Linked DNA regions of Arabidopsis thaliana. The protein of the gene in region 3 interacts with the protein of the main gene of each other region in a pairwise test. Each region holds a gene or a part of one and is shown on either strand. Other genes may lie near its edges.

Region 1 (5,096 bases), on a different chromosome or scaffold from region 3:
ACACAAAAAAATCCAAATTAAAAACGTTATGGACCATCCATACATTGAGAGATTGGTCCTCCTCCACTCTTTATAATCAATTTCATTTTTTCTTGAAGAAAAACAAAAACAGGAATAAGTGAAAGGTAGGGTTAGAGAGAGAAGAGCAAAAAGTAGTTACAGGGACCCAAAAGTGGAGAAACAGAACCCAAAAAAAAAAAAAAAAAAACTAAAGTTGGAGACAGTTGTTTTGAAGAAGTGTTCTATGTCCAATCCACAAACAATGTTGCCTCTTGTCTGCAACTAGGAAACCTCTCGTCAAAATCTCTCAAGGATCACAAATTTTGTGACACTAACACTTGGTTTTAATTTTGTGGTTAGTGAAAAAAGTAAAAATTTGTATATTTTTCAGTTTTAGAACATTGTGTACATAGACTTCTTAAAACCAGGGATTTAGCTCAACGGCTATAAGAGGAACAATAAAATCAAGAATTTGATGATTGAGAACAAATAAGAGGAAAAACAAAGAACAAAGATTATGAAGAAAAAAACACACATCTCTCCTTTAGTTTCTTCTTGCTTTATATAGAAAGAAAACAGCAACAGAAACAACAATGCATCAAGTAAGAAAAACCAGAAACAGAGAAAAACAGAGTGTTTTTGTTTTCGCAATTGTCCTTAGTTTTTTTTTTTCAGTTTCACAGAGAAGGAGCAGTAGCAGAAGTATTCATCAGCGTGGTCGGGCCAAGCGGATCTTTTCCATCACCGTTCTTATTGTTGTTATCGCCAATGATGGTGCTGCTTGCCGAGCTGCTGTTAGAAAGAGAACCAAATGTCGACTTTTGCAAGACGCCTGTTGGAGAGGAACCAAACTTGGGACTATTGGTCGTGCTGTTTAGTACCTCGCCGAGTGGACCTCCCATGGAGTTGTTATTACCCCAGGAGATTGGTATCCAGTTATTCGTCTTTTTCCCGGGGTCAAGAAACTCGGTGTTGACGCCTAATCCCATGTGGATCGCGGGGTCAAACTCACGCGATAACCTTAAAGGTGAGAGTGCAAGTTTATCTTGAACAGGGGAAGATGGAGCCATAGGGATTGACATTGAGAGCTGAGTCCAATCCGATTTCAGCTCTTCGGGCCAAGAATCGACATTGTTGTGATTCCCCGCGTGCTTGGCTTGGTTGCCGAAGTCAAGATACGATCCAAAGCCTTTGGAAGAGGTTGCATACGAGGCTTGTTTATGCGACGGATTAAGTAACGAATCAGAAGAGATGAGTCCGAATTCAAAGGGATTATTGCTTTGTTTCGGATGAGTTTCCTTCGACTGTAAGTTCATCGTGGCAGGAAAAACCGAAGCCCCTCGAGAATTTTGAACTCTGCAATGCAACAAACAACCATTAAGATTTCTTGTTAATTTGTTACATCATTGAATCATCAAGAAAAGGAGAGTAAACAGTTCATTAAAGCAAAAAAATCCAAATATATGGAATCCTAAGCCTCATATTAATAAGGAGTGGTCACAATCATAAAAGATGTAGTAATAATGAATTGGTGGGTCTACTACTTACTCATAGGGCAAAGAAGTATTTAAAAGTTGAAAAAGGTATGAACATTAAAAACTTAAGAATATGCAGATAAGTTATATCAAAAAGGCAAGAGATGTTAAACGTTTTCACCTGTTAGCCAAAGAATCTGTAGATTGATTATTGGTATGATGTTGTGTTCCAACAGCAGCGGCAAGGCTATTGTTATTATCTGATCCACGCATCGCAACAGCTGAAGTCCCCGCTGCCGCTTTGGACACAGCAGCAGCGGTAGAAGCGGCAGCAGCAGAAGCAGCGGCGGCAGCATTAGTATTGTGGCCATTTTGGCCTTCCACAGGCTTTCTTGAACGATGGCGGCCTCTGTTAATATGTCGTTCACAGTACTTTTGATCGGGAACAGCGTCCCTCGAGCACCGCCATTTCTTTCCATCTGTCCGGCGACATCTCCCTGGCTCGGGATCCATGTTACCACCGGAAAAGCCCAGATGAAAAGAGCCCCATCCAACTTCATAATCACACAAAACAAAAAAATCTCTCAAGATCTCATAAAAACACCATTCCCCTAACAAAGCAAGAATCTTTAATAAACCCACCACCAATCCATACAAGATTCAATGTTCCAAAGGACTATACACTAAAAAAGATAGTATAAAGTTAATTCTTGGCTAATGTATTGGAGATAAAAGGAATCAAAACTATTGATCAATAATCTCAAATCTTTGAAAACAAAAGATAAGGAAGAGAACTTACAAGAATTAGGAGGCAAGGAACCATAAGGGAAAAAAGATTTCTTGAGAGAGAGAAGTAAACTAGATGGAACAGGGACATTGGCTGTGATATACTTATAGATCAACGCCTGTTGCTCTAGCTCTGCCCACTGAGTCAATGAAAAAGGTCCTTTTACTCCTGTCAACAAGTTTCCATGCATGTTGCTTGTGTTCATCATTCCTCCTAAACCATATCCTGACACCACAACAAAACCAATATTCCAAAATCAAGACTTCACTAAATCAAACTCTAATCAAAACCCATTTCTGTAATCTAACTCTAAGCAAAAGCCATATACTGATTTTCAAGAAAGTAAAAAAAAAAAGCAGAGTACTTTAGTTGTTTTTACAGTTCAGACCTGAGTTTCTACAGTACTGAAGATAAGGTGAGACATCTGATTTGCCTGAAGCAGAAGAGAAGCTAAGCATGTGTTCTTGTCCTTTACGAGGATCATTAATAGTGGTAGATCTCAGTAAAGGGATGCCTTGATGAAACGACAGCGTTTTAGCAGAGGCAGGGGAAGAAGAGAATCCATCAGTTGATGTTCGTGAGAGCTTTGAACTTCTCCAGCAATCTTCACCATCGAAACCGGATCTTTCTTGCTTGTTACTGAAACCAGATCCGAGTTCAGTTTGACCCGGAGAAGAAACGGTTTCATGACCAGAAACACGAACTCCAAGATCCATAAAAAATGGATTCAGAAGGAGACAAAGAAAAAGTAGTGCTAAATAATCACTTCAGAGATTTTTCCCATGGGAGGTAATCGCTTTGAGCTCAGTGAAGAAGAGAACCGAGAGAGAGAGAGAGACAGAGGGAGAAGAACGAGGCTAAGTTTTTTTATTTTATTTTATACTCTAGATATTATTTTTATTATTTTGGAGAAAGGATATTTATTATTTAATAATAACAAAAAGTAATAATTGTGGGAGTGAGAGATATGATATAGCTTTGGGTGGAGACAAAGAATGGTACCGAAAACACAATCAAGATCTCGGACATGTTACTACAAAGAAATGAAAACTATAATCAGATGCTCTACGTATGATTTTATTTTGATTTATGTATTATTTAAGATTTTAATAATTTTGTGGTTACTTTTGTGATATGAGAAAAATAATTATAGAGGAAGCAAACAATGAACTTTTTAAGATAAAAGACATGTGGACACCACGTGAGACATGTCTCTCTAGTTTCAACTTCAAACCCTAAGAAAGGAATTTTCATTTGCTTTTTGCTTTTTGCTCTAAAATTTGTTATGGTATGCATTTTTACCAAACGTTGCAAAGGGAAAGATGGGGTATACTTTAAGTGAGATTTTAGTATGAAAGAAGTTAGAGAATGAGATTGTCGTATTGAAATAATAAATATAGTATTGAGTTGAGTATCAAATATCTATCAGATTCACGTGGTTCCCAATTGTATTTGGACTGTCTAATGGTGTTCTCCAATGTACCCCAGCTGATTATAGTTACATGGGCCATTTATGTTTTTCAATCCTATCTCTTGGGTTTAAGTTTTATTACAACTTTTTTTTTTCAAATGGCCTTATCCCTTATGTAACATAAGTACATAAGTACATCATATTCATCGCTAGTGAAACTCATATCAATTAGGTTATGAATAATTTGTATTTGAAACCTTAAATCAGAAATTAGATAAGATTTTAATGGTTATATAAATTATATGAGTCAGTTCATTTTTTGCCAATAAGTTTTGAATCGGAAGTCTATAATCTAATATGATATTAGAATATGATTTATAATTCGTGTCTATCCCAATCGAAAATCGGTTCGATCCTAGCAAAAAAATTTTAGACAGCAGATTTTGCAAACAATTCTAGGGGCATTACTTTGAAAAATGTGCATCTTGAGTTTTGCATTCGTATCAAATGTTCAGAAATTCAAATTCACCTTACCTTTCTATTTTCCAAAAAGGTTAAAATGATTTTTTTTTTTTTAATTTGCTTTGAAATTAAGAAGTTGGGCTTTTCGATTCACATAAGCCTTTTCGTCGTAATCAAATATTAAAGGTGCCTAGAAGTCTAGGATGGGAGCTGGATCCAAACTATACTAAAACCATGCACGTGATAACCTGATACCCACCTCATATGAACCCAAACCATACTAGTTCTTTCTAAGACAAACAGAAGAAGAAAAAAAACACTTGCCTTTAAGCTAATAGCTAATGGTTTGGAATTAAACAATAGAAATATTTACTACGTTAAGTTGACAACGTAAAAACAAAAAATACTGTTAACTTATATTAGAATATTTTTTTATTAGTAATGGAATTTTTATTAACAGTTTAAAATATAATTATTACCCAAAACAAAAATGTTTTTATATTTTTGTTGATTTATAAAATATCTTATGATTTTTTTTTATCAAATATCTTATTAGTCATAAATATAAAATTTAATAGATATTAAAAGTTTACTAAAAGAAAAATAATTATTAGAGTCATATCAATATTTATAACAAAAATGAATATCTTTTGTTAACATAATCAATTTGTCAGTTAATTTTGTGGAACCCTGAACACAATAACCATTTAAAGGTTAAAAGTAGCAATATTGACAACTAAACGTTTTATTATAAGAATTCAAAACCTTAAAGGTATAAACTGCAAGTTTTTGCTCTATTAGATTATTTATGGGATTAAGAATATACATTTGATAAAATTAACAAACTATTTTGTTATTTTTTCATTCAAAAGAAAATTTATTATTACTCAAAAATACAATAATGTTACACTCCCATCACTAGCTACTACTACTAAACAGAAATTCAGTTTGGTTTCGAGTA
Region 2 (4,411 bases), on a different chromosome or scaffold from region 3:
AGAAAATAGAGATCATGATTATGCAGTTGATAACTGGACCTTAGGCATACTGTGTTACGAGTTTCTCTACGGTAACCCTCCATTCGAAGCCGAGAGTCAAAAAGATACATTCAAGAGGTAAGAAAAGACTAGACTTTTTATCTTTTGTAGAAAATTACAGAAGCTCAGCTCCTGATGACGTTTTGTATTCACTGTCATGCAGAATTCTTAAGATTGATCTGAGTTTTCCTCTTACACCGAATGTTTCAGAAGAAGCCAAAAATCTTATCAGTCAGGTACACACCCAACCAAGCTAAAGCATACCCACAACGACTCTCTTGCTTGACTAGTTATTAAGCATTAACATATAGTTGTTTTAAATCTTTTGCAGCTTCTTGTTAAGGATCCCTCCAAACGACTCTCTATTGAGAAGATCATGCAACATCCATGGATTGTCAAGAACGCAGATCCGAAAGGTGTGTGTGCCTCAATTGATATTTGATGTATTCTCTCCCAATCTCAGGAGTCAGGACAAGTAGCTTATATGTAATTTAATGTTATGAGACTAATGTCTTAGAAGTTTAGCAAAAGCACTTTCCATGTGATATATTATCTCATTTCAGCACAATATAATCTTAGCTAAAATTCGTGTCTCGATATTTTTTTGTGATTTGACTTCTTCTAACATCTAACACAGAAAGATCCTTAGATTGAAACTAAAAACATCATTTGAACCTCGACAACATTTCTATGTTTCTAAACACCTGGTGAAAACAAAGACAAGTACTCCTCATCGTCGTCTTCACCCCTTAAAGCTGTGTCAGTAATGGTAGTGTCGGTACTGCAACTGCTAGTGCTCTTCTCATCAGAAACTCGGGGCAGTGTAATTCCCATGACTGAAACAGAATGCTTCTGGTCATCTCCATCTTTGCAAGGCACAACCGATCTAACAGCTGTTTCCACGGTTAACGGGCTAAACCCGGCATTCTCATGTGAGTTAGTAGTATCAACTGGATGCTTCTTCTTCATACCTCTATGCATGTGCTTATCGCAGTACTTCTGACCAGACAAAACATCTTTGCTGCATCTCCACTTCTTCCCATCTGTTCTTCGGCACCTTCCTGGTTCATTGTCTGTTTCAACTCCTTGTAAACGAAAACAACCACGTTCTACAACGAAGAAGCAAGATATAAGACCCAGAAGGTCATGTCTGAAAATCCCTATGAAATGACGATAAGCCAAGGTTGCAAAGGTAAAATACCTTGAAGAACAGTGTCTGGAGAAAAGTGGATACCATGAAACAAACCACCATTAACATTCATATTCTTCCATTCTCTGCTTCTTGCAATTATATCATTCTTCCTGTTGCTTGAGAATTTTGCAGCTTCTAAGCATTTATCAGATACCTCAGGGAAGAACTTTTGAACCGAAGGTTTGCTCTCATCACCTAGTAATGAAATAATGGAACCTGGTCAATCCATGGAGCAATGAAGAAATGAATTCTATAGATATTTTTCTGTTGTGAGTATGATGGTATCATGATACCTTGAAGAGGAACAACTCCAACACACATACTCGCCTCTTTTTCATTAATAAAGTCATCATAACTCATCTCCATGTTCTTTCTGCCGTGACTCACACTTTTGTTTGTGAATTCAGAGATCACTAAAGACGGACGAATGACATTTTCACAGGATCTGGCACTAGGCAGTGAAGCAATGGTAACTACCTGCGCATTACTAGAACCCGAGATTGTCCCATGAAGATGACTCTGACTCTCGTTATACCTATCCAAACCATAAGTGTTGTCGTATTTGGTTGATGATGAAGCAACCTCAGAAGAAGATTCCACAAGCTTTCTTGAACGTTTACGACCTCTATGCATGTGCCGTTCACAGTACTTCTCGAATAGAAGGACCGTGTTGCTACAGCGCCATTTCTTCCCATCTGTTCTCCTGCACCTAGTTGGTTCAGTTTCCAACGTGTCGATATGGGTTACTCCCTTGTTACTCAACACTGCAACTCAATCCCCAATAGGCACAAAATCAAATTCAGTCAACAGAAGTTTGTTGTGTATGTAAATCTTTTAACTTCTCCAACTCAGAACCCAAAAGCCAAAAACATGTTCAGGAAGTTAAATAAGCACAATAAAACCCATCAAGCATTTCCACAACAATACCCCAAACTTTACAACTGTTGAATCAGAACATAAACTTCTCTAGATTCTGAGGTCCAAGACTTGTCGTTATGTTGTCTAAAATCTTCTAAATTGTGTCTTTTTCTTACCCTAGCTCAACTATCACGCATATACTCCTAAGAATTTCTTGAAAAGAAAACTCGAATGTCAAATTACTTACGAGAAGAAGAGTGATAGTTGTAATTGGAGGAAGAAGAGAGAGCAAGACTGTTCCAAATAGGCACCACGAGATGATGAGGCACACGGAGACCAGCCTCTATGTATCTATACACCAAAGCTTGCATCCGAAACTCCATTAACTGCGCCGCCTTCATCCACGGCCACTTATTCCTCATCCTCTCCTCCTCAACCTCCTCCTGCTCCATTTTAGGGCTCTGCATCTTCATAACAAAAATTGGATTTTTGGGGAAGCTTTATTCAATTCCAAGAAAAAGGAGACAGCTTTTGAAACTAGCGACACAGAGAAGCAAAAACCCACCTCCCAAGAAGAAAAAGCTTTAACAACAAAACCAAACAGATACTAAAATCTCTTGCTCTGCTCGCTACTGTTCAATAGAGAGAGAAAGAGTAAAAGAAAAACAGAGGAAAGACGAAGAGGCGAGTGTGAAGAGATTTAAAGGCAGTTGTCAGGTTTCTGACAAATGCGTCAGCGTTTTTCAGCCTTATTTGAATACTTTTCGGACAATAAAAAAAGTTGAGTTTCCCTCTTTAAACAATGCCACAGAGAGACTGTTAACTCCTCTGTCCAGCTGCTCCACTATACATCATTACATCTCCACGTTCTTATTCCTCTATATGGGCCCATCTTATCATAAAAGGCCCATTACTACTACTCCATTAAGTTGGGCTCTACTCTTCTTCTTTTTTTTTTTTTTTTTGCTTTAATGATTCAAAATTTGTTGCTTCTCATTGGCCTTTACTTATAACATTTCTCTTTCACCTGATGCCTTTTCATCTTGGTCACATTTTTGTATTTCTAAAATCTATATTTTTCAGTAGGCAGGAAAATAAAAACAGAGCAAAATACTTTATTTTTATTTATAGTATATAAGGAAAGTTTGATCATGTAATGCTTGTATCATATACTCACTCACTAGTGGTTTTTTAAATATTGTCCACACGTGTAAAGTAATGCTTTAACAGCTCTAAAAATTCCTATAATGGGAAGCAGTGATTCAATATTGGTCCTCACCGAATTGTGGATAATTCTATTTATATGTAGAACATGAACGTCGGCAACCGAAATAAATATATAGAATTTGAATCATACATATTATACTGTAGATGATTACATAATATCAATACTTTTATATTTATATGTATTGGTCTTTATATATTGTTTTCTACTATACGAAATGTCAGGTTTGAATCATTGTTGAGTAAGATACATATTGTATTGGTCACTACACCAATCCACAAACAATTTATGGTATATAAAACATTTTCGATAACAAAATAGATAGCATTACTGAATACACTGACCACCACATATAAAACTCGACACTATTGATCAATTTAGATGAAGAAAACGAGAAACAATCTCCAGTGTTTTATTTAGGCCAAACAAATATCTAAGAGTAAAAAGAAGCCCAAATCTCTAATTTTTTGGTGTAATATAAACAACAAGACAATTAAATGGAATGGCCTCTTTTCTTCTTCCAGCTATGTCCGAAAAAGAACACATGGCCCCAATCCAACCCAACTCACTTCTTATAAACAACACACATTTCAAAAATATAAAGGCAAAATTAACTCTAGTCAAATACTCTAACCTAACCATGATCAAAATTTAACCGTGGTTAACAATCATCCTTCTCTTTTAACTTCATCTCTCTTCTCACTCAGTCTTCTCCACTTCCTCTGCTCCACACTGACACTTGAAAAAACTCAAAACCGTCTCATCATGGCGGCGTCACAGACATTCTCACTCCTCGCCTTCACTTTCTCCCTCCTCGCCTTTGCTTCCACCGTGAGTAGCCACAACATCACTCAAATCCTCGCTGATTCTCCAGATTACTCTTCCTTCAACAGCTACCTTTCTCAGACGAAGCTCGCCGACGAGATCAACAGCCGCACGACGATTACAGTTCTCGTCCTTAACAATGGCGCAATGTCTGCTCTCGCCGGAAAACATCCACTCTCCGTTATTAAAAGCGCTTTAAGCCTCCTCGTCCTCCTCGATTACTACGATCCACAAAAACTCCACAAGATCTCCAAAGGCACAACTCTCTCCAC
Region 3 (4,147 bases):
TATATCTATGTACTTCAGGTTAAGGATGTCGAGAGCTACATACATTATCGGTGCCCTTGCGGGATCTGCGGTAGTAGCTTACGTGTGTGACAAAGTTATTTCTGATGATAAGCTTTTTGGAGGCAAGTTTTAAACCTTATAAAGCTACTTATGATGTATCCAGAAAGCTAAATTTGGTTTGGTTTGTTTTGAACTCTCAGGTACTACACCAGGAACTATTACTAACAAGGAATGGGGTGCTGCGACTGAAGAGAGATTACAAGCATGGCCAAGAGTTGCTGGTCCTCCCGTCGTCATGAACCCTATCAGTCGCCAGAATTTCATCGTCAAGTCACGTCCTGAATAACTTTTGATGCCTTCTCGTGCATCGTTCTCATTCGTTATGGATTCATTTTCGAATATCTGCTCTTTTGTGTTTGATTTGAGGATCGGCTGATTGCTCTAGCTGGTTATAGTAATAATTTGTGTTGATGCGTAACACATTATTCGGATCAAGCTTTTCCCCGATGCATAACTTTTGTAAGGTTTGTTGATTTTGACGATAAATGAAATCGAGCCAAAAAGAAAAACTTCTAAGACATTATTGGTTTGTTTGGTTTGGAATTTTGTTATCGCTGATTCTGTAAACATTTTTAAAACTGTTACTTTTCATCTCAAGCCTTGGAATTAATTATCACACAAACCTGGAGGCAAACTATCAGGTAAACGTGATTCTAAACCCGGTTCATACACCAAATTGAACCGGTGACACTAATACCATACAACAACATTTAACATTGTACATGTGAATGTGAACCATTCCACATCCATCTAGGAACTGAAACTCAACTGTCTCAGAACCCTTTTAACAGAGACTAACTCATAAAATGACAAAACCTTTTTTTTATATCATCGTGAAGAAAGTAAAAATGAAAGGTAGAACCTAATTGATATCAACAAGAAGCATCACTTATTCTTCCTCTATTTCATTTTCCTTCAGTTTTTGCATCACCACCGCCATGTCTAGCGGCTGAGCCACCTTGCCCATCAGCTCCACTCTGGCTCATATTGGTCCCATCCGGTTTACCTCCTCCACTAGCATCGTTAGGACCCGCTTTTGGTAGAGAAAGAAGGTGAAAATCAGTAATGTGATAATAAGTTCCAAACTGCTGTAAAACCAAATATTACCATTGTTTGCGGCAAGAGCAGTTTCATGGTGGTGCATTTGATGTTGCAGTCCGTTGTTATTATTCAAACCCATTGGTCTAATCCCCATGTGCCCTTGCATAGCTTGTTGATGTAACTGTTGCTGCGGATCCAGAAACTGATGCGGGCTACCAAATTGCAATGGACCTCTAGGAGGGAAAATCCCAGGAGGTATTTGTTGAGCCATTCCCACAGCTTGATGTTGCTGCATGAAGTAGCTTGGTGGTGGCTGCATTGATGACGGATTAGGAGCCATCTACAGAAACCAAACACACACAAACTATAAGAACCAAAATGTTTTGTTTTTCAACTGATCAAAACAGAAACTTACTGCTTGGGGAGTCATGGCTCCTGATGTTAGTGTAGCTGCTGGTGGCTGAGGTTGAGCATCCGCAATTGCAGCGAGATACATCAAATTCTTCTGGAGAAGAGCTTGATACCTAAAAGAATCAAGCAAGAACCATGTTTTATTATTAATATTCTATTTACCATCAGTAAAGCTAACATAGCTCGGTCTTGGTATCGAGAATCCCACACTTACTGAGCACATTCTGCAAGTTTACCGAGGTTCTGATTTTCCAAGATCGCCATTATCAGCTTCTTGTTCTCATCAAGATACTGCAAGAAGCAGCAATAAGTGACTCACTGTGTCAACATGTCATCTTCACAATCTGATTTTAAGCTTTCAAATCTCATATGCATACAAATACTCTGTTTTCACTCAAAAAAAAACTCCAAACTCATGATTGTACATCCAATTCCAGTAACAAAAAAAAGTTAAAGCGGAAAACAATGACACTTTAAAACAAATCATACTCAAGAAGGAAAGTTCATTACAACAGTTTAAACTACTCAAAAACATCATTACACAACCAATTTCAAAGCTACGATAAACAGACATTATGACTAAACAACAGAAAGACAAAAAATATAGAAAGTAAAGTAGTAACCTTTTGGATCTGTTCGGTGGTGATATTATTGGTGGGCGGAAATGAAGGAAGAACCATCGGAATCATCTGTGGAGATTGCTGCATCTTTTATAATTCACCAATCAAAACTCTGAAACAGTGAAACCCTAAAGTTTCTTCTCACGATTATTACAAAACAATAATTCTGAGTGATAGAATTGGTTTAAGAGCCCAATGCAAAACAAACTGATGCAAAAATATTCAACAAACGAATATTTTGGATTATCCTTAAATTTAAGACTTTTGATTTGTTTGAATTTCGCCGACGAGGTTTCTGGGAAATCGTAGGACAAAAAAGTCCCCCAACCAATTAATTTGTCTCCCCCACCGAATGTACACGTGGCACCTTGTCTGATTTTTCGTCAGCTCTACGATAACCAAAAAAAGACAACATTTGTAGCTGTTATTATTTATTGGGCCTGTTAATGGGCCTTATAAAGAATTATGAAAGCTTCTGTGTCAAGAAGAAGGTTACTTTAAATCTGTATCAATATCAGCTCCACGACGGCGATTCGTCGTTGTCCTCCGAACCAAGCAAACTCCGATCCCTCACCGTGGCTCCGGATATTTTACGGCGGTTGTTCCCGGCTCGGACTCGAAGAATTGTCCGGATTCTCCCTTTGACCAGGCTGGAGATGAACCTTTTCCGGTTCTGCTCCGGTCTGAAAGTCCTCGGCTATTTCATGATCCTTCTTGTCGTCGCCGTCGTTGGTGTATCTTACTACGCCGTCGTAGTTAGCACATGGTGGCCGATCTTGATCCGCGGAGACCATGGAGCTTTATCCGCCCTCGCTGCCTTAATCATCTTTGTTTTCCATTTCCTGGTAATTTCCAAGTCTCATAATTTCAGATTAGGTTTTGTTTCTGGAATTGTAAGTCTAGGTTTTCTGCTACTTAACCCCTAAACCTTAAACTTAGGGATGTGGCATGAAACTTATGTAGCCAAGAGAATGAGAAATGCAATGTAGTTATGAAGCATGAAGCAGTGTAGATACATAATCATTGTTTAGACCATTGATTGTTAGTAAATGTTTAGGCTCCCTGAGTTTAGGTTTACAATTATACTTCTGATTTGCTTGGTTCTTTGCAGCTGATAATGCTGTTGTGGAGCTACTTCACAACAGTTTTTACAGACCCAGGTTCTGTTCCTGAGCATTTCAGAAGAGAAATGGGAGGTGGTGACAGTTTGGAGGCTGGTACTTCGACAGATCAAGGAGCTTTTGGCTCTTTAGGTTACTGTACCAAATGCCGGAATGTTAAGCCGCCTCGTTGCCATCATTGTTCTGTGTGTAAGGCGAAATCTGATTTGTTTATACTATGTTCTGCTTGTGTTTCTACTGATAGAGAAAGAAAGCTTTATTCGGTTCTTTGTTTCCTTATGTAGGTCAAAGATGTGTTCTTAAGATGGATCATCATTGTGTTTGGATTGTAAACTGTGTTGGAGCACGCAATTACAAGTTTTTCCTTCTCTTTCTGGTAAATATTCATTTCCATTGTAGTCTCTTATGGTTCTTAAAAGGTTTAAGCGAGCATTGGGATTATTTGATTTGCTGATTTCTTCACCCTCTTTTTTTAATTTGTAGTTCTATACTTTTCTTGAGACAATGTTGGATGTTATTGTCTTGCTTCCTAGTTTCATTGAATTCTTCAGCCAAGCTATAAAGCATTCTTCTTCTCCGGGTAAACTGGCCTCTCTCGTTCTGGCATTCGGTGAGTATAAACGGTTCTTTTTCTCGTTTTCCTTTTCCCAGAAAGTGCTTAGCTTTTTTCTGGGTCTCATTTTCCGTCTTTATGTTTCTTACAGATTCTATCCCCTTGATGCAGTTCTTAACTTTGCGTTCGTTCTCAGCCTTCTTTGTTTCGTAGTCATGCATATTTCTCTTCTCTCATCCAACACTACTTCAGTTGAGGTAAATCTTTTATGTTCTTGCTTTCACAAACAATCTAAGTCTTGAAAATATGAGTCTCTTCTCTGAATCATTGTCTTATTTTTT
Region 4 (4,602 bases), on a different chromosome or scaffold from region 3:
CATATCATTTTCGAACCAATTTAGAAGGTGATGTATATAATCAAAAGTATTTAGGATGATGGTTTATCGCGTGAACACCATTTTGTTTAAGTACGTGGTCATCGCAAGGTAACCATCTTTATTTTCTTGGGTTGATCTTCACTAGCTATATATTAACCAATTACATATGTATTATTTTGTACTGAAGAAAGGATATAATTTGTAATCGCCAAATGATTGAATTAGTATTTGCTAATTACAAAAATTTGTAGAAATCGCGATAATTATCAACTTTTTTACTATATCCCATCATTCTACTATTACGCAATGTTATCAATTGTACTAGTTTGTTTCATCCACTATGTAAAATCATTCAAACCCTAAAGTCGATGCTCATCAGCTCATGTATATGTATGTATCATGTATATGTACATAAGATATAAAACCTTTATAGATGTGCATGTAAAAGAATGGTAGATAGTAGTAGTAGGTGTGTAAGGAGAAAGATCTAGGGGGCTTCAAAAAAAGGAGAGAAAAGGACAGAGCATGTGAAAAGAGACAGAGAAACAAACAGAGGAGTGAACAGTCTTACTCTTTTTTTTTTCTATGCACTTAATGAACCCAACCCTCTCTGTATATTTCTGATTCTTCACATGTCTTCCTCTTCTTTTTTATTCCGAAAACTTTTCTTCAGTAAAAACCAATGCCGAAAAAAATACATAATAAAAACGACAAAATATCTAACATTTTTTATATAAAAAGGACAAAAGTACTTTCACTTCACTTGCAACCAAACAAACCTAGTCCCCTTCTTTATCCAATGGTCTCTCCCCTGCTCTCTATTTCTCATCTAAACACCCTTTTCTTTCTTTCTTATTTACCATTTTGCCAACTTATGTAAAAGATGTTAAGAAGAAAATGTGAAAATTTAGTAAAAATCTCTCTTTTGTATTGTCGTCAGAAACTGTAAAATAATCTTACTCTTTTTCAAGTCAGCATATAAGTTTGGTTTCTTCTCCCGAGTCAGAGATTCGTGCAGTGATGATACAAGAAGCTTATTCCGAATTCTTTTCATAAATACTCGTATTTCCTTCTTCTTTTTTTTTTTCTTTTTTTTAACATCTATCTGTTCTTCTTGCATCTATCTGATTTTCCTCTGTCTTTTAGACAGTAATAACAGAGCTCACTAAATGTAATAAATAAAAAAATGAGCTCAATAAAAAGGTAAATGGCACTCATTTTTAGGCCATCAAGTGTTGGGATACAGCTGAAATTAAAAAGGCGTCAGCTCAAAGGAAAAAATAAATAAAAAAGATTCCCAAAAATCAATGCACTTTTATAGAAAAAAATACACATAATTTCAAAAAATACTTAAATTTTGAAAAATAAGATGAAGAAAGGATTGAGAAGAGAGGAAAGAGTAGTCAGAGAGACAGGAGCATCAAGTGCTGCAGAAGAAGCAACAGGAACACTGGGCCTGAGTCTCTTCAGATTTGCCAGTCTTTATAGGACCACACTCTTCTTCTTCATCCCCCTTACATACATTTTATCTATTTTTACATTTTACAATATTGGATATTTTAATGTTGTTTTGATTTTACACTACATGGCAAAACTCCTTAAAAGCTCTTGTCCTGATGTGATTCTTTTTTCTTTTCAACACTGTCTAAATATCTCTCTCTTCTTTGTGATCACTCTTTGATTTATTAACTTTCTGATTACCATTCCCCCCAAAATAAACCCTACTAGAGTGTGACTAATTGTATAGTAATCTCTATTGTGTAATAATCTTTTATCTTTCCTCAATACAAAAAAGTAGGGTATATATATAAAAGAGGGAGTGGCCTCGTGTAGAGAAAGAACCTAGCTAGTGTTCATGCAATTTGCATCTGAGGAATATATGCTTAGAAAGAGAGAGAGAGAGAGAGAGAGAGAGAGAGAGAGAGAGAGAGATATCAAACCAGAGGAAAAGAGTGACAGAGAAAGTGGTCATCTTTGTCTGTCTCTGTCCGAAACTCAGGAGCCCTAATCTCTGAATCCATCAAGAAAGCTCTTTCTCTTCCTTCTTTTATGCTTCTGAATTTGCTACATATATAAACTATCTGAAGAAAGCTAGAGAATAAGATGATGAGTCTAAGTGGAAGTAGCGGGAGAACAATAGGAAGGCCTCCATTTACACCAACACAATGGGAAGAACTGGAACATCAAGCCCTAATCTACAAGTACATGGTCTCTGGTGTTCCTGTCCCACCTGAGCTCATCTTCTCCATTAGAAGAAGCTTGGACACTTCCTTGGTCTCTAGACTCCTTCCTCACCAATCCCGTAAGCCCTATACCTATACTTAATTTTCTTTCTTTCATGTTTTCTTTTCTTGCATAAAGTTTCAATCTTTTGTTGATTCTCATGCCCCCAAAGTTTTCAGCTTTATGTGTTTTAGAGTGATTTGGTTTCTGGTTAAAGTCTCTAGCTTTTTTTTTCAACGACCACTTTTAAAAACTCAGTTTCCACAGTCTTACTTTTAATGATTTTGGAACTTAAGGTCCTAATTAGGGTTTTACATCATGATTAATTTTAGGGTTTCGTTTTAATTAAATGATGCAGTTGGATGGGGGTGTTACCAGATGGGATTTGGGAGAAAACCAGATCCAGAGCCAGGAAGATGCAGAAGAACAGATGGTAAGAAATGGAGATGCTCAAGAGAAGCTTACCCAGATTCGAAGTACTGTGAAAAACACATGCACAGAGGAAGAAACCGTGCCAGAAAATCTCTTGATCAGAATCAGACAACAACAACTCCTTTAACATCACCATCTCTCTCATTCACCAACAACAACAACCCAAGTCCCACCTTGTCTTCTTCTTCTTCCTCTAATTCCTCTTCTACTACTTATTCTGCTTCTTCTTCTTCAATGGATGCCTACAGTAACAGTAATAGGTTTGGGCTTGGTGGAAGTAGTAGTAACACTAGAGGTTATTTCAACAGCCATTCTCTTGATTATCCTTATCCTTCTACTTCACCCAAACAACAACAACAAACTCTTCATCATGCTTCCGCTTTGTCACTTCATCAAAATACTAATTCTACTTCTCAGTTCAATGTCTTAGCCTCTGCTACTGACCACAAAGACTTCAGGTTCTGTGATCTTATCTTTAGTTTCTCTTGTTGATCTTTTATGGAAACTTTTATTGATGGATTGTTTTTTGAATTCAGGTACTTTCAAGGGATTGGGGAGAGAGTTGGAGGAGTTGGGGAGAGAACGTTCTTTCCAGAAGCATCTAGAAGCTTTCAAGATTCTCCATACCATCATCACCAACAACCGTTAGCAACAGTGATGAATGATCCGTACCACCACTGTAGTACTGATCATAATAAGATTGATCATCATCACACATACTCATCCTCATCATCATCTCAACATCTTCATCATGATCATGATCATAGACAGCAACAGTGTTTTGTTTTGGGCGCCGACATGTTCAACAAACCTACAAGAAGTGTCCTTGCAAACTCATCAAGACAAGATCAAAATCAAGAAGAAGATGAGAAAGATTCATCAGAGTCGTCCAAGAAGTCTCTACATCACTTCTTTGGTGAGGACTGGGCACAGAACAAGAACAGTTCAGATTCTTGGCTTGACCTTTCTTCCCACTCAAGACTCGACACTGGTAATTAATTAATCTGCAGACGTAATCTTATGATCTATGCTAATTATTGATAGTTTCAAAATTAGTTTAAATTTATTTTCTCAGGTAGCTAATTAAGTAGAGCTGGCATCAATGATGGATCTGCACCAACACACACAACTGTGAAATGTTGAAGAAGAGTCACATTTCACATCTATTTCCGTGGAACAATGAGACAAGACACTGTTTGCAGAATCCTATATGTATTTTTTCTATCTTTTTCTATGTGTGTTAGGTCCAACAAGAAAAAGTGATCCGACAGATATATCTGTATGTGTTCTCTTGCTTTCTCAAGAAATCAGATTTTATTTTACTGTCGCTGATAGCAACAAAAGAAAACATGACTTGATTTGTGAGGGGTATCGTTATATATAATTTATTTGTTTCTTAGGATGCAAGCATCTATATAGTTTCACACATATAATCTAGATTTTTTCTAAGGCCATGTTCTGATTAACTTACTTTAAATGTAAAACATTCATGCAGAGGAATAATAGTAGACTAGGTTGCAAATTCTGTAGGGCAAAGGATACGATTATCCGCAATTAGTTAAAGTTTTATATGTAAACACAGACACAAATAATCAATTACTATCTAAATGGCTGTATGTTGAGATTATCCGCAGGTTATGAAATGACGTTACATAGGCCCAAGTCTTGAATCACGCATTTACGAAACGAGAGTATGGTCAAAACTCTACATAATATGGCAAAACATTAAACTTATTATTATAAGAAGAAGAACCATAAATTTTGTTGTCGTTTATAGAAAACAAACAATCATATACAACTTTTGGTGTATGCTTCCTTCCATGTATGTGCTCCTTTAGCAAAAGGAAAGATGGGAGAGTTAAAAGACAAAACGTCATGACTCTTGATCCATTAATCCTTTTACGTGCGTATGAGTACTTGGAATCATTGGTCATTACCAACATTAAT

The links.
Region 1: the proteins of GIF3 (region 3) and GRF1 interact in binary tests that used the Arabidopsis thaliana proteins (3 or more experiments, as listed by UniProt).
Region 2: the proteins of GIF3 (region 3) and GRF9 interact in binary tests that used the Arabidopsis thaliana proteins (3 or more experiments, as listed by UniProt).
Region 4: the proteins of GIF3 (region 3) and GRF5 interact in binary tests that used the Arabidopsis thaliana proteins (3 or more experiments, as listed by UniProt).

Annotation. Positions count from the first base shown.
Region 1 is NC_003071.7:9,726,723-9,731,818, reverse strand, and holds GRF1 (growth-regulating factor 1), read right to left. Parts: upstream 3,340-5,096; 5' UTR 2,979-3,339; coding exon 2,651-2,978; intron 2,488-2,650; coding exon 2,275-2,487; intron 2,030-2,274; coding exon 1,657-2,029; intron 1,357-1,656; coding exon 678-1,356; 3' UTR 518-677; downstream 1-517. UniProt on the Arabidopsis thaliana protein: Transcription activator that plays a role in the regulation of cell expansion in leaf and cotyledons tissues.
Region 2 is NC_003071.7:18,743,728-18,748,138, reverse strand, and holds GRF9 (growth-regulating factor 9), read right to left. Parts: upstream 2,800-4,411; 5' UTR 2,563-2,799; coding exon 2,337-2,562; intron 1,996-2,336; coding exon 1,525-1,995; intron 1,427-1,524; coding exon 1,241-1,426; coding exon of another isoform or gene 1,200-1,240; exon of another isoform or gene 1,149-1,199; coding exon 736-1,148; 3' UTR 505-735; downstream 1-504. Other genes in the region: AUR3 (ataurora3), read left to right, coding at 1-117, 203-275, 371-481; FLA8 (FASCICLIN-like arabinogalactan protein 8), read left to right, coding at 4,080-4,411. UniProt on the Arabidopsis thaliana protein: Transcription activator that plays a role in the regulation of cell expansion in leaf and cotyledons tissues.
Region 3 is NC_003075.7:355,747-359,893, reverse strand, and holds GIF3 (GRF1-interacting factor 3), read right to left. Parts: upstream 2,550-4,147; 5' UTR 2,220-2,549; coding exon 2,136-2,219; intron 1,804-2,135; coding exon 1,727-1,803; intron 1,626-1,726; coding exon 1,517-1,625; intron 1,442-1,516; coding exon 1,168-1,441; coding exon of another isoform or gene 1,094-1,167; coding exon 966-1,093; 3' UTR 557-965; downstream 1-556. Other genes in the region: ATOZI1 (monopolar spindle protein (DUF1138)), read left to right, coding at 26-122, 201-346; AT4G00840 (DHHC-type zinc finger family protein), read left to right, coding at 2,789-2,977, 3,244-3,442, 3,538-3,629, 3,737-3,863, 3,978-4,063. UniProt on the Arabidopsis thaliana protein: Transcription coactivator that plays a role in the regulation of cell expansion in leaf and cotyledons tissues.
Region 4 is NC_003074.8:4,606,423-4,611,024, forward strand, and holds GRF5 (growth-regulating factor 5), read left to right. Parts: upstream 1-1,653; 5' UTR 1,654-2,103; coding exon 2,104-2,302; intron 2,303-2,581; coding exon 2,582-3,113; intron 3,114-3,191; coding exon 3,192-3,646; intron 3,647-3,730; coding exon 3,731-3,738; 3' UTR 3,739-4,075; downstream 4,076-4,602. UniProt on the Arabidopsis thaliana protein: Transcription activator that plays a role in the regulation of cell expansion in leaf and cotyledons tissues.